4 linked regions of the Coturnix japonica genome follow. The protein of the gene in region 1 purifies or fractionates together with the protein of each later gene. This does not show direct contact. Links are inferred from orthologs where the notes say so. Each region holds a gene or a part of one and is shown in the gene's direction. Other genes may lie near its edges.

Region 1 (4,137 bases):
GATGGCTGCTTTTCTCCCCCTAGCGGAAGACGCCCTGAGAGGGGAGCCGGGCCCAGCCTTACATGAATTTTAAATCCCTTTGTAGTTGCCTTTCAGCCAATGTCTGAATGTTCCAGGGCTTCACTGCCTGTGGGGAATGGGGAGATGGTGCCCTTTGCCTCCCCTTCTTGCCCCGGCCTTAGGGAAGAGCACTCCTTCCCCCTGCCCTGTCCTTGGCACTGGGGCCATGCCCCCTGCCTTACTTCCTATGGGACTTGTAGAATTCAGGGCTATGGGGTGAGTGCTCACTTGGCCCAAAGAAGCCTAGAGAGGGCCTCTGCCCTGCTCTTTGCCCCCGTCACTTGCAAGGGCAGTCCTTGGGGCAGCTGTGGCTCTGCCATTGCAACACCACACAGCAGTGGGACCTTTTTGAGAGCTGAGAATGCAGCCAGTGAGTGAGGGAAGGCACACTATGGGGGAACACAGTGTTTGTGTGCAGAGAGGGGCAGCACTGACCTTACCCTGCTCCATTCCCTGTGTGCGATGCTTGGGAGGGACGTGAGCTTTGTGGGCAGTGCTTGCAGCTCCTCTGGGCTCACACAGAGCTGTGGGTCACTTGCTCCAGCCCTCCTCATCCTTTTTCCTCCTCTCACGGCCGCTCAGAGCTGCTCCTCTCCACTCCTGCTGGGCCGTGGGGAGGAGATGTGGGTCCATGCTCCCTTAGCGCCCTCCTGTTGTCTCCTTCACTCTTTCTGTTTGTGGTTCTCTTACACTCTGGAGATAAAATGTGTTTCACTCCTGAGCTCTGTATTATACCCTCCAGCCTGCCCCATGTGCCCTCCCCGCTTGCTCACACCTCTTTCCATGCACATGGGGCTCAGTGTGGTGGCACTGCCCAACTGCCCCCTGTAACCCCTGGTCCCTCTCACTGCCTCTCCTCACCCTGCCCTACTCACTGGATTTTACAAAAACAGAACCATTCTCCTTGTTTTTATTTATAAACATAGTTTTATTGGACTCCTGCCTCGCGTTTTGTTTTGGACCATTCTGCTTCCCACTCCCTGCCACATCCCGCTGTGTAGGGGTGCTGGCTGTTCTCCATTGGGATATACAATGTGTGTGCCCATGCATGGTGTCAGCCTCATATATGCCCATAAATGCCCATACTGTGCAGTGGGGACCAGCGGGGCCGTGCAGGGTGAGGGCGGCCTCCCCTTACAGCCCCATATTGAGGCCTAGCTGCTCTGTGCCGTCCCCCACGAACTACAACTCCCAGCGCGTCCGCGCCTCAGGACTACATCTCCCAGCATGCACCGCGCGGATCAGTCCTTCCCGCCTCCACGCTTGACGCATGCGCAGTGCCAGCGGGGCGCGGGCAGCGCATGCGCGGCGGCGGCTCTGCAGTGCTAGGGGGGGCGCTGAGGGACGGGGGGGCGGCAGCCGCCATCTTGGGCGCTGGGCGGCGAGCGGCGGCGGGCGGCGGCAGGTGAGGCGGCGTGCTGCCATGGGGCCGAGCGGCCTGGTTTGGCTCCCTGTGGGGCTGTGGGGCTCTATCTGTGTTGGGCTGGGTGACCGGCCGGGGTTCGGCGGGCAGCGGCCGTTCCCTCAACGCTCGGGGCCGGGGGTCCGCGGGCCTCCTCGGTGCGGCTGTGACAGCGCCGGGCCGCCTCCCCTCAGCGCTCGGGGCTCGGCCGCAGTTCACGGGGCGGCGGGGCTGCGCGGCAGGACTGTGCTCGGCCCCGGGGGATGGATGGGATGGATGGGATGGATGGGATGGATGGATGGATGGATGGATGGGATGCGACCGGCTCTAAACCCGCCGGGCTCGGGCGTTTCTTGGAGCGGTGGGGTCGGAGCGGCGGCCCTGGGGGGTCGGGTGGGCTCGGTGCGGCACACGGAGCCTGGGGAACGGCCCCGGCTACGTGCCGGGTCAGCCCGAACAAAGGTCCTTTAATCGGATCAGCGGGAACTTCCCCGGGAATCATTCAGCCGATGGGACGGGGCTTCGCTCGGCCGTGGCTTGTCACCTCCAGCTTCCTCTATGGAAAAGCTGCTGGGCGCAGAGCGCCTCTGGTGATGCTGTGCTGAAGCGTAAAGAGGGCCTCTATCCAGCAGCGCCTATGGATGCGGTTCCTCTTCCTTCCTTCCTCGGGCTGGGCTTTGGATCCTGCAGAGCTGCAGGAAAAGCTGCCTTGTTTGTCGCCCTGTGCAGCTGATCGCTGGCCCCACCGGGAAATGACTCCCCGTCAGCTGTGTGATCTCTGTTTTCTCCTCACTTCAGGATGACAAAGCTGCCCTGAGTTTTTAGCCTAAGGCTTTCGGAATCTGAGCCTGGAACGTTCCCAGATAAGCACATCTGAGTGGCTTCAGTAGCTCAGAGCTCTGGTTGTGTTGGATTTGTATCCACATTTAGGCTTATGCGGGTACATAAGTTGTTGGGCACCATTAATGTGAATGCAGCGCTGCAGTTACTGCTTTTTTTTGCCTTATAGTAAAAATTAGACTTGTCCCAGTGAGTTGCTTGCAGGGACAACCTCCAGCCTGATGAGATGCATCCCAGCTGCCTGCTGCCATATTTTCCTTGTCAGAGCGGGGGCATCGTTCATCTTCTGCGGGCAGAGCCATGTTACTGACATCTAGTGACAGAGATACCCGGCGTCCTTTGGGCTGTATTTTCTTCCATATGATGTGATGTCTCCATAGGATATTATGGCCGGCTTCTCCCCTTCTCTCGAGACAGCACATTCCTGGTCTTTGAAGAGCTGAGTCTTGAGGGTACAAAGGGTCATATCTGCAGCTTTTTGAAGCAGAGATAGAGGATTCTTTCTGGGCTATCTCAGGGTTTGTGTGTGTCTTTTTGTTTGCTTCACGTGACCCTGGTTAAACTTTTCTTGGCCTCTTGGTGCAGAGGTGAGATGAAGCTAATCTAGTGCAGCACAGTGTCTTGCATCAGTTTCCTGAGCTTGTACAGCTGAAGGCTGTGAATATGCTCTAAGCTGGAGGGCTGTGTGGTGCTTTAATAACGAGGCCTGTCGTGTTTCCCTGTGTCAGGGTTTCTCTCATCCTCTATAAGCTGATGGCGTGCAGCACGGCACGCAGAGGCTGTAGGAGGGGAGCCTGCTTAGTGTTCAACGTGCTTCTCTTCCTGCCCACTGCTTGTGGGGATTTGTGGGATTGGGTTTAAAATTGGAACGCTTCCTCTGACACCGATGGGCTTATCTCGGGAGCTCTTTAGCTCACATTATGTGTCTTAATTAAATTACACGGCCTGTGTTCCCCAGGATTGCGGCTACTCTTCTTTAAAACCAGGTGTGGCCCGTGGCCTCCTGGACAGTGGCTAATGCAGCGCTATAAGCAAAGCTTAGGTGCTCAGATTAGCTGCTGCGTGATGACATTCGAGGTAAGCCTTAAGCCTGTCGGTTTGATAACAGCTAGTGCTAGCTTGAAAAGACTAGTTTCTTAAATAGCTTGTTTGCCAGAGCAGCCTGACTAATCCGCCTCCTGCTTCTACTGCTGTCATTTGTCCAAGATCACAGTGACTGCTGGAATGCACAAACCGTTACAGTTGGTTTGCCCTTGGTCCTGGGAGAGCTGCAGCACCTCTCCTGGCTTCTTCCTGGATGAGAGCTCCAGCAGCTAATGTACCTCAAACTGCTTAGCTGGATAAGCTCGCTAATGCACAGAAGTCTTACTTACTGTTAAGTCTGAACCCAAACTTTCTTTTAATAGACTGCTAAATGGGTTGGTGCTCTGTGCCAGCTTATCGACTGACTTGTGGCTGCTGCTTCCAAGATGGACTCTGTACGTAATAAACGCTCTTCTTTTCATTCAAGGTGATATCAGGGCTGCAAGGAAATTCCAGGAAGGTGTTTTTCTTCTGGTGTGGATGCTGCACTTAGTGCATTGTGTCTGTGCTCCCAGGTCAGCCACATGCTGCACCTCAGAATTGAAGCTGCTGACAGCCTGGCATCAGGACACTGCTTTGCTGAGCTGCGTTCCAAGTGCGTGGCACAATGTAGGTGTGAAAGGGCAAAGTCTGGCTTTTAAAGGAACACCCGGCATTAGAGCTGTCATGCATTCAAACACACATCCCAGCAGTTTGTTTTTGTACACGATCCTTTTTGTAGCAGACTTTTAAGATGGTGACTTTGCTACCAA
Region 2 (2,636 bases), on another chromosome or scaffold:
GTCCGGGGGCTGGGGAGGAGCATTTGGTTTCTGAGGGTACCACATGGCAGGAGTGCATCCTGTAGGCTAGGAACAGTGACATTCTGTGAGATGCTGATTTCAGCAGTAGATCAATTGGAAGGAGGTAGCACAGAGCGGTTGTTGGAGTGAATGAACACGGGCCCATTCACAGTGCATTTCCAATGACTCCTTCTGTCTCCTTGCTAGGACGAAGTGCTTTTATAGGCATCGGTTTCACAGATCGTGGTGATGCCTTTGACTTCAATGTGTCTTTGCAGGATCACTTCAAGTGAGTTGTGCTTTTCTGGAATGCTATTTTTTCCTCTGGCCCCTGGAATGTGTTGGGTGGTGGTGCTCATTCACTTAGCAGAGGTTTCCTTGGGAAGGACATGAAGCCCTGCTCTGGCACCATTAGGAATGCTTGAATGTATTGCCAACTGTCATGTGAGCTGGGAGTCCTTCAGGGTCTAATCTGGAAGCAATAGGTTTGTTTGGGTTTGAAGAGACTTTTAAGACCATCTAGCTCCAGTCTCCCTGCTGTAGGCAGGAACGCTTCCCACTAGACCAGGTTGCTCAAAGCCCTATCCAAGCTGGCCTTGAACAGCTCCAGGGAGGGAGCATCCTGGGCACCTCCTGTTCCAGTATCTCACTGTACTCACAGTGAGGAATGTCTTCCTGATATCTAATCTGAAGCTACTCTTTTCCTCATCCCGTTGCTGTATGCTCTTCTTTCCTACATACCCTCCTCAGCTTTCCTTCTGGCCCCTGAGTCTTATTCTTAAATCCTATGACACTACAGACAGTCTCTTGGGTTTGTCGTTTTTTGAGCTTTTTGCTGTACTACGCTGGGAGTGGAGGGGTATCTGGTTTGAAAAGGCAAGATAGTTACTTGTCAGGTTGTGGAAAAGAATCACTCTGCTCCTATTTGCCACAGTCTCTTATCTTTCTTCTGTCTTCTTTTTAGGTGGGTGAAGCAGGAAACTGAGATCTCCAAGGAGACCCTGGATGCTGACACACGTCCTAAATTGGATTTAGGGTTTAAGGAAGGGCAGACCATCAAACTGAGCATTGGGGTAAGGAGCCCAGTCAACCCTGTCTCTTTTTCTGGATATTCCAGTAGATAACCTTCCTCACTTGTCCTCTCATTTTTTATATAGAACATGACAACAAAGAAAGGAGGAGCAGCCAAGCCTCGTGTGTCTGGATCAGGGGGCTTAAGTCTGCTGCCACCCCCACCAGGAGGCAAAACTGCAGCCCCTTCGGTCCCTCCTGCTTCTTCCACATCAATTGCCAACCATGTCACACCACCACCCGTACCGAAATCCAGTAACGTGAGCAGTGCAGGTAAATGTTAACATAGAGCAAACAACCTATCAAATGTTAGCAGGCACAAAGAGAGAGAGCAGAGGCCTGTGTCAGGGAAGGGATGTTCAAGTTCATTGTAATATCAACAGAGCAGTTAAAAAAAAACACCGATGAAACTTGATGCACCCTGAGGTCTTTTCCCTCTTTGACCTGAGGATCTCTGTGTTTGTTTAATAATGTTAGCCCCTCGAATAGCATTGTAGCTGTTCTCCTTGCAAAAGGAGAAAACAAATGAAGTGGCCGAAATGACCTGGACAGGTAGATATGGAATTTAAGTACTTGGATTCTTCTGAACTTGTATGTGCTTTAGGGGCACTGGCAGAGCTGTATGGAATGTTCAGAAAAGGAGTGCTCAGTTGCTTGCTTTTTGTAGGGAAATACAAATAGCCCATGGTTGTTGAAAGGTGCAGGAAAAGCACTTCCAGAAAGGCTTTAAACAGGGAAGGAGGTAGCTTTTAGTATGAAGACCAGAAGGTACAAAATATAGTGAGACTGGGCTGTAACAAAGAGGTTGCTGTGTCTTCTGGATGCCGAATTAAATGCATGACCACAACGTAGCACTATTTCTGAATTCATAGATCTATACAGACCTGAGTGAGAAGAAAGCACAAGCTTCTGAATAGGGCTGGGCTGCAGTGTGTCATTTGTACTGATAGCAACTGTTATGATTGCTGTGCTTGTACTGAGTCTAAACCTTAGGTCCCCTCGGAGGAGATAATATGTTATAAACCTGCCAGTTGATAAGCTAGATGGAGGCCTAGTGGTTCCTGAAGACAAAATAACCCTATAGCAGGAGCTGGAGCCTCAGTGAACCTTTGACAAAAAGGGCTGCTGTTAACACAGACTAGGCCCTTAAAAATTCTCTCTTCTTCTGAAGAGCTGGAGTCCATTCAAAGGTTCTGTGCTACTGCATCCAGTAGTTTGTATAACGTGACAGTTTAAATGCCTGCAGGTTGTTTTTGTTTCTTTTTTCCTACTAACTTGACAGATTTCAGATTTTTCCTTTTCTTCTCTCTCAGGTATTCTATTAGACTTAGATGCTCCCGCATATGCATCCAAGACACCAACGTCAACTGCCACAGACGTCTGGGGAGACTTCAACACTGCATCCAGGTAAACTGTGATGGAGGGGACTGTGCACAGGAAGGGTGACATTCTAATGTGTGCTGAAGGAGCAGTGAGTTAACAGGCTTTCTTAGGGGTACACGTTTGATTTTTCTTTCTTTCTTTCTTTCAGTGGTGTTCCTAATCAGGCTCCTCAGCAGTCCAAC
Region 3 (3,500 bases), on another chromosome or scaffold:
TCCCTTCCAACCCGGGTCATTCTGTGATTCTGTGTGTGTGTGATTGTTTGTCTTTCTTAGCTAAGTGTTCACTGTTGTTTGCTCAGCATGTCTGCAGGAATAGGAGGGATGACTGCGGAGTCTAATGGCTACTGTAGAAGCCTGAGCCCTTTGTGTCTGTATACATTGTTACAGTGATCCGGTTCTCATGGAGATAGGTCTGATGTGGCGTTTCTGTGCAATCTTAACATGTTTTAATTCTGTTTTTTGAGGCAATGGCTACACAGTCACCTTGATCCCTTTGTCTGCAGAGCAGCTCCTTCTGAATTTGTCTTCTTTGTGGTTGCCGTGATACTTTGTATGGCTGCACAGACAAGGAGGTTATGGAGCTGGCAGCTTTAAAAATGGTTGCTTTCCCTTCTATTTGTCTTACAGTAGATTTGGCAGGCTTTTAAGCTGCAGCAAGGCAGCAGACTTAAGTTGGATTAAAGTTCAAATTAGCATGGAACTATGATGTGATCCTGTCATCCAAGTATTAGCAGGTATTTCTTTACAGTGAGGGTGACAGAGCACTGGAACAGGCTGCCCAGGGAGGTGGTGGAGTCTCCTTCTCTGGAGATATTCAAGACCCGCCTGGACACCTACCTGTGTGACGTGGTGTAGGGAGCCTGCTTTGGCAGGGGGGTTGGACTCGATGATCTCTAGAGGTCCCTTCCAACCCCTACAATTCTGTGATTCTGTGATTCTGTGGTATAGGAAATGGCTGTTTTCTGTCCTTGGGATTTACTCTCTTTTTCACAGAACTGTAAGACACTCTGGCACCCACAATGATCATGGGACTGCAGCTCCTTGCTCCAAATAGAGTTCTATGGGTGTTCACATACAAAAGACCAAATTCAGAAAGCTGACATTCCATATGGCATAGCTTGTCCCATGGAATTCCTGAAATTCACCTACATTAGGAGTTGCTCTTTACTTATGAGTTCCATTACTGGGAATTTACATATTGGCTTCTGTCAGTAATTTTCATCTTAGTTTTAATTTTACCAGGGCTCCCTATGAAACAGCACGGAAGGATCTGGGTGCAGAGGATCTGGTGTAGCCTCTTCAAAAGTGAACTCGTGATTGCTGCACACCAGGAAAAAAACAATTATACTTGTTCTATCTTCTTTACTTTACATTAACATAATTAGAAGATAGATTTGACTTCAGAACTCTATTTTTTTCCTCCCTTTCTTACTGCAGCAGGTTAGGCAGGTTCTTATTTGCATCTATAAAATATGCTTGAGAAAGATGAAAGTGGTCTTGGTGCAAATGCAGTCCTCACAGACACTCTGAGCTTCCAAACAATCCTATTTTATTTCAGTGATGTAAAGTTAGCTGGTTCACAGTGAGCAGCAGTATGAATAACATGTAAACTGCCTCTGAATTTTGTAAGAATTGCTTTGAACGTAAAACATATATTCTGATACTTAATGTGTAGTGTTTGGTGTGGTGTAAAGCAAAGCTGGCTGAAATAACAGCTCTCCTATTGTGTTAGCATGGCTCGGCAGCTAACTGCATGCCCAGATTCTACAAGCACTAAGCTTAGGGCCTGCTCTGTTTTATTATCACCTCATGACATCAGGTGGAGCATTCCTTGTAAAAGGCATCGATGTTTGTTTCATTTTCAAGGTAGAGCTCTAAACAAAATGCTTTGAAAATGACTTCACATTCTTTTTTATCATTTTTTCCCCCCTGCTCCAGGTGTGATGGACAGGTAGCAGAAGATTTCACTTTGATAGCAGGGAATCAGAATGACCGAGTGCTTCCTGCCTCCCACCAGCAGCCCCAGTGAACACCGTCGGGTAGAGCACAGTGGGGGTCTCGCTCGTACTCCCAGCTCTGAAGAGATCAGCCCTACAAAATTCCCTGGGTTGTACCGTACTGGTGAGCCTTCGCCGCCTCATGACAGCTTGCATGAGCCTCCAGATATAATATCAGATGATGAAAAGGAGCATGGGAAGAAGAAAGGAAAATTTAAAAAGAAAGAAAAAAGAAGTGAGTGGGCAACTTCTTATTTCATGTTCAAATCCTTTTTCTGTTTTGCTTTCTCAAAATTGCCTGGTATTCCCAGTGTTGGTTTTTCTGTTTTTGTTGTGTTTTCTTTCTCTTTAAACCTGTTTAGGTGTGAAGGAAGTGAACTTACACAAACACACTTTGTGCAATACCTGTTTATCTTCATGGAAAAGACCTTTTTGTTTTGTTGCACAGGCACCGAGCTCATGCCCAGAATTGCTGATAAACATATTAATGTAAAGCCTTTAGCAGAGTGTTGGTAATCACTTGGCATGATAGTCTTATATCATTATCAGTTCAGATCCTGAGTGGAGATTTCCATGTGTATTTCCAAATAGACGCTATTTGAAATCTTAGCTGAAACACTAGCTAAAGTGAAGCTCGAAGTTTGACCTGAATTGTACATTCTGAAATATGAAAGAGTTGGTTTAAACAACATTTAACTTTTCTTTTCCGTGCCCTGTGTATTCAATGTTTGATAGTACTTACCATTTCAAGCTTTCGTATGCACACTCTACCACTCATTGAGGACTAATAAGCTGCATCCTTTTTTCATTAGCTGCTTAGTTTATTCTAATCCTGCAGTTTTCTCCAATCCAATTCCAACCCTCTAAAACCTGAGTATCACAGCCCACCCAATTGAGTTGTTTGGTTTTTTGACAAAGCTTCGCGATACTTTTCCATGTTTTACATCACCTTTTTTACATGGCCCAAATGCTGGATGTTGTGGATGCCCTTGTTCCTCACTAATTGCTAGAAGTGGAGCTTGGAATACCAGAGCCGATGAGACAGCCCACAATTAGTACTATTATTGCTATGGCATTTTGAAAGAATATGGTGACCATTTGTAATAAGCATGCACACATTCAAATAATTTCTTGTTAAGAATTTGCAGCTGCTGCATGACTTTTAATCAAGCCAATTTCCTGGATTGAAGGAATTGTTGCTTCTACCGCAGTTTAGAAGGCCTGTGCCTTCTAAAAGGTACAGAAACTCAAAACCATGTTGTCCTTCAGTTAAAACTAACAACCAAAGTTTCTACGTGTTTTAAGAAAGCTGGTACCTTGTTTTTTCTCTTGTAAATACTATTAGCCTAATACTAATACTGAATTACTCTGGGCAGCCTGGTTGGTGACCCTGCCCATGGTAGGGGGGTTGAAACTACATGATTTTTAAGGTCCTTTTCAACCCAGGCCATTCCATGATTCTATGGTAAATTCTGTATTAGTTGGGTCTAAAATAAAGCCATTGTCTTTTGGGCTTTTTTCCTCTTCGCATATCAGCCTTTGCAGTGCAGTGCTGCAGTTCTGCCCTCTGAACTTATGCCTCTGAATTAAGAACTGTGAGAGATCAGCGTTATATACAGTGTGGCTTTCTTTGTGGTGTAGTCTGTGTGTCTCATGGCAGTAGTCAGACTGAAGGCTGAAGAGGGAAAATGCTACTCCAGCAAGTACATGCAGATC
Region 4 (3,500 bases), on another chromosome or scaffold:
CTGGACGTGCCATTTAGCTGAGACGTTTGAGGTGTACCATTTGTTTTATTTGACTGTGTAGACTTGACTTCTGCTACAGCTTTCTCTTCAGATACCCATCTTAAAAACAAAGATAAGTTTGACCAATCAGTTTTTAGTTACTTAATTAATAATGCACAAAGGACAGTCTTTCTCATAGAAACGTCAGGGCAAAGTTAAGGCTTAAATGGTAACTCTAAGTATGGATCTCCAGCTTAGTGAAGGTCTTTGCCTGAGACTAGAGAGCTAAAATGAAGGATGAAATGTTAAGTTGCTTCTGGATTTGATAGTGTTGATAGCTCCCTCTTTATGAAAAAAATAAAAATTATCTAGGGAACATGTAGAAATTCTAGCTTATTCTTAAGTTTTCCTATTATCGTCATGGATATTATGTCCAGTAGTAAATGATACAGAAGTATTAGCAGTTAAATAGATAAGGAACAACATAGCTTCTTGCCTCAATGCTGCAAATTGTTGTACTTTTTCCTTTTCAGTTTTATTTGAATGTGCTTTTCAAAACACTGCAAATAACAAGAACTAGTTTCAAATGAATCTTGTTTTCAGTGCCTCAGAGCTTCTTCTGAAGTAGCTGCTAAGTTTGCTTTGCAAGCATTTCTCTTAAGGGTAGATGAGAACAGTTTTGTGAAAGCCTGTGTTGCATAACTGCTTTACAAATACTTGATTTATAGGTTTTGACATAGACACACCAGATGACTTTGGCAGAACTTGTCTTCACGCAGCTGCAGCTGGAGGGTATGTAAAAAGCATTCATGCCTTTATTTTTAGTGCTCATTTTTTAATTGCTGACCATTCCTTTTTTATTATTCTTTCTTCTTTGCATTTCTCCTATGGAATTATGTAAATGCAAAACTAATTTCAAGATGGATTCCATCTACAAGCAATAAAAATTAATTATTCAGCTCTGTAAGTAATTACTGGAGTTCAGTGTCCAGGTATCATCAGCTTTATATTAGGTTTATGCTTGGGGATGAACTGGATTTTATTTTAATTTCCCGTGGGTGATGATACAGCTGCAAAGATGTCGTGCCCTTCTAGGTCACCACAGGACATGAGGTGAACAGCAACTTTGGGAAATACATTTTTACTGTATCCAGAAACAAGAGATCAATCAAGCAAAATTAAAAGTCATAATTAAATTCCAGAGTTTAGGTGGATGAAGTGGTCAGAACTACTTGTTCATCACTTGAGTTGTGATCTATATTGATTATTGTTATTGCATTGTAGGTTATCTATAGCAGCTACTCAAAATTGCCTGGAAGAACTGGGTAATAAATCTCATGATACACTTTGTGGGACACAAAAACTCCATTATAATGATATTTTCATTTTCTATTTCAATGTTAATTAAGTAATACTGCTAAATAATCATTCTTAGTGAAAAGTTACTCTATAGGTACATTCTTGTTACAAATGATTAAGATTAAAATGCTGTCTTTTCATATTAAAACACATGATTTGTGACTCATTCCCTCATTCATCTACAATTTAGAAAAGTTATTAAGATTTTGTTTAAAGGTGCAGTGTTGCACATCTGTTGGTGTGATCAGATTGTACTGAAAATGAATTGCTTAAGTAAAACATTTGCGTTACATTATAACTTACACTTGAGCTTCAGATATATACCTTAAAAACTTGTTTCTGTGTTGGAATCCTGGTAGCAAAAATCATGTGCTGTACAGGTATAATTTTTATTTTATTTTATTTTAAAGAATTGAGTCTCCTATTAGGATTGTTAACGGCCATGTCCTTCTTGGTTTGGTTCTGCAACTGTGAAATACGTATTCAGATTCACAGAAATTAAACTTTTCAAAAGTTTTTGTATAGTTTAGTTTTAATAAGAATACCATCTTCAGATGTTTTCATAGCAGTTCTGGTAGTTGTAACGGTCAATATTAAGAAACTGTAATCTGCAATCACAAGCAGTATTGCATTATTTTAATAGGAATTTGGAGTGCCTAAATCTTCTGCTGAATACTGGTGCAGACTTCAACAAAAAGGACAGATTCGGGAGGTAAGAGAGTTTAGAATTTTATGTTTTGAAGGGTTTTTAAAGTGTTATAAAATGCATATTGATATGTGGTCAAACCTGTTCATTTCAGTTTATATGTTTTAAACAGTAATTTCCCTTAAAGTCTGCTTCAGCATATGTTATAGAAAATTGCAGACATATATATATATTTAGGTAGGTGCTCAGTCTTGTTTTTAAAGTGCATATTACATACTCAGCTGTAGTGTTACGAGCCTTCGCTGCTTAGAACATGAACGTAATGAGTTTGTTTCACTCATTCAAGGACATTAGCAATGTTTTCCAAATAATATATCAGACTGTAAGTTTGTTACTGTTTGTGAAGGGTTTTTCTTTAGTTAAAAGTCCAAAGTTTTATTACAACTTCCTCATCTTCCTCACATTATATCCATCTGTTACTGTTCCTTTCCTCATTTGTGCTCAGTACTTGTTTGGAATGACATTAATTTCTGTTTTTAGTGTAGAATTATTTAAGGTCATATTGCAAGATCACTACTTGTGCAGAATCCTGCATGACATCTTGAAATCATTGCATTACTCATGCACTACTCCTGCCATTCACATCCATTTGGAAGTGCCTTCCACCCTTAAAATGGAGAAATTTGTAGTAGCAATCAGTTTTTATGAACAGAAACAGAAATTCTTTATCATTGTGGTGCTAAACTGCTATTTCGAGAACTGAAGATAGAATAAGTTTCCTTTGATATGATTCTTCGATATCAGTATTTCAGTACGTCGTGCTTTTGTTAGAGGGAAGCGGTGTATATTTTCAAGATCTTTCTTTAACATTACCTCTGAAACGTTATTGTAGTAAAAAATCCTGCCTGCCTCTATTATCTAAATATGCAGAAAATATTGACTTGCTAACTGTTGTATTTTGACCTTGTTTAGTTGCTGCGCAGTTCTTGAATTTGTCCATATTTTTCACATAGTTGGAAGTACCTACTTAACCACTAATAATGTCTAATGTAAACTGTTTTTCTCTGTACGTTTAAACAAGAAATTTCATATAGAACTTCTCATACCACAGTGTGTGGTGGCTGACAGATATTCCTAGATAGTCTGTGTTATTAAATGGCCCCTCAAAGATAATTCTTAATATTGTATTTATGTGTAACTTCGCTGCAGAGATTTGCTAAAAAGGGAAAGGAGGATATAAGTTTTATTTTCATTTGCATTTTCTGTCTCTCTAGTATTATTTTGCTGGTATTTACCTTTGTACTTTTTATTCAAATGTGTACTAAAGAACTCCACTCCATTATGCTGCTGCCAATTGTAATTATCAGTGCCTGTTTGCCCTTGTGGGATCTGGAGCTAGTGTGAACGACCTTGATGAGAGGGGTTGTACACCTCTGCACTATGCAGCCGCATCAGACACAGATGGAAAGTAAGTGTGGCATGCTTTGTCCTACAGAAATTATCTTTAGAAACATCT

The links.
Region 2: the proteins of AP2M1 (region 1) and NECAP1 purify together in Homo sapiens (affinity purification with mass spectrometry; 3 studies listed by BioGRID and IntAct, counting the BioPlex papers as one, with this or other methods). This does not show direct contact. The link is inferred for Coturnix japonica from reciprocal best matches to the Homo sapiens genes AP2M1 and NECAP1.
Region 3: the proteins of AP2M1 (region 1) and RALBP1 purify together in Homo sapiens (affinity purification with mass spectrometry; 3 studies listed by BioGRID and IntAct, counting the BioPlex papers as one, with this or other methods). This does not show direct contact. The link is inferred for Coturnix japonica from reciprocal best matches to the Homo sapiens genes AP2M1 and RALBP1.
Region 4: the proteins of AP2M1 (region 1) and ANKRD28 purify together in Homo sapiens (affinity purification with mass spectrometry; 3 studies listed by BioGRID and IntAct, counting the BioPlex papers as one, with this or other methods). This does not show direct contact. The link is inferred for Coturnix japonica from reciprocal best matches to the Homo sapiens genes AP2M1 and ANKRD28.

What each region holds. Positions count from the first base shown.
Region 1 is NC_029524.1:13,826,350-13,830,486, forward strand, and holds the start of AP2M1 (AP-2 complex subunit mu), read left to right. Parts: upstream 1-1,337; 5' UTR 1,338-1,465; intron 1,466-4,137.
Region 2 is NC_029516.1:68,443,439-68,446,074, reverse strand, and holds part of NECAP1 (adaptin ear-binding coat-associated protein 1), read left to right. Parts: intron 1-207; coding exon 208-289; intron 290-964; coding exon 965-1,073; intron 1,074-1,157; coding exon 1,158-1,344; intron 1,345-2,384; coding exon 2,385-2,478; intron 2,479-2,602; coding exon 2,603-2,636. UniProt on the Homo sapiens protein: Involved in endocytosis.
Region 3 is NC_029517.1:88,800,210-88,803,709, reverse strand, and holds part of RALBP1 (ralA-binding protein 1), read left to right. Parts: intron 1-1,725; 5' UTR 1,726-1,775; coding exon 1,776-2,019; intron 2,020-3,500. UniProt on the Homo sapiens protein: Multifunctional protein that functions as a downstream effector of RALA and RALB. As a GTPase-activating protein/GAP can inactivate CDC42 and RAC1 by stimulating their GTPase activity.
Region 4 is NC_029517.1:31,175,530-31,179,029, reverse strand, and holds part of ANKRD28 (serine/threonine-protein phosphatase 6 regulatory ankyrin repeat subunit A), read left to right. Parts: intron 1-707; coding exon 708-771; intron 772-1,981; coding exon 1,982-2,050; intron 2,051-3,311; coding exon 3,312-3,452; intron 3,453-3,500. UniProt on the Homo sapiens protein: Regulatory subunit of protein phosphatase 6 (PP6) that may be involved in the recognition of phosphoprotein substrates. Involved in the PP6-mediated dephosphorylation of NFKBIE opposing its degradation in response to TNF-alpha.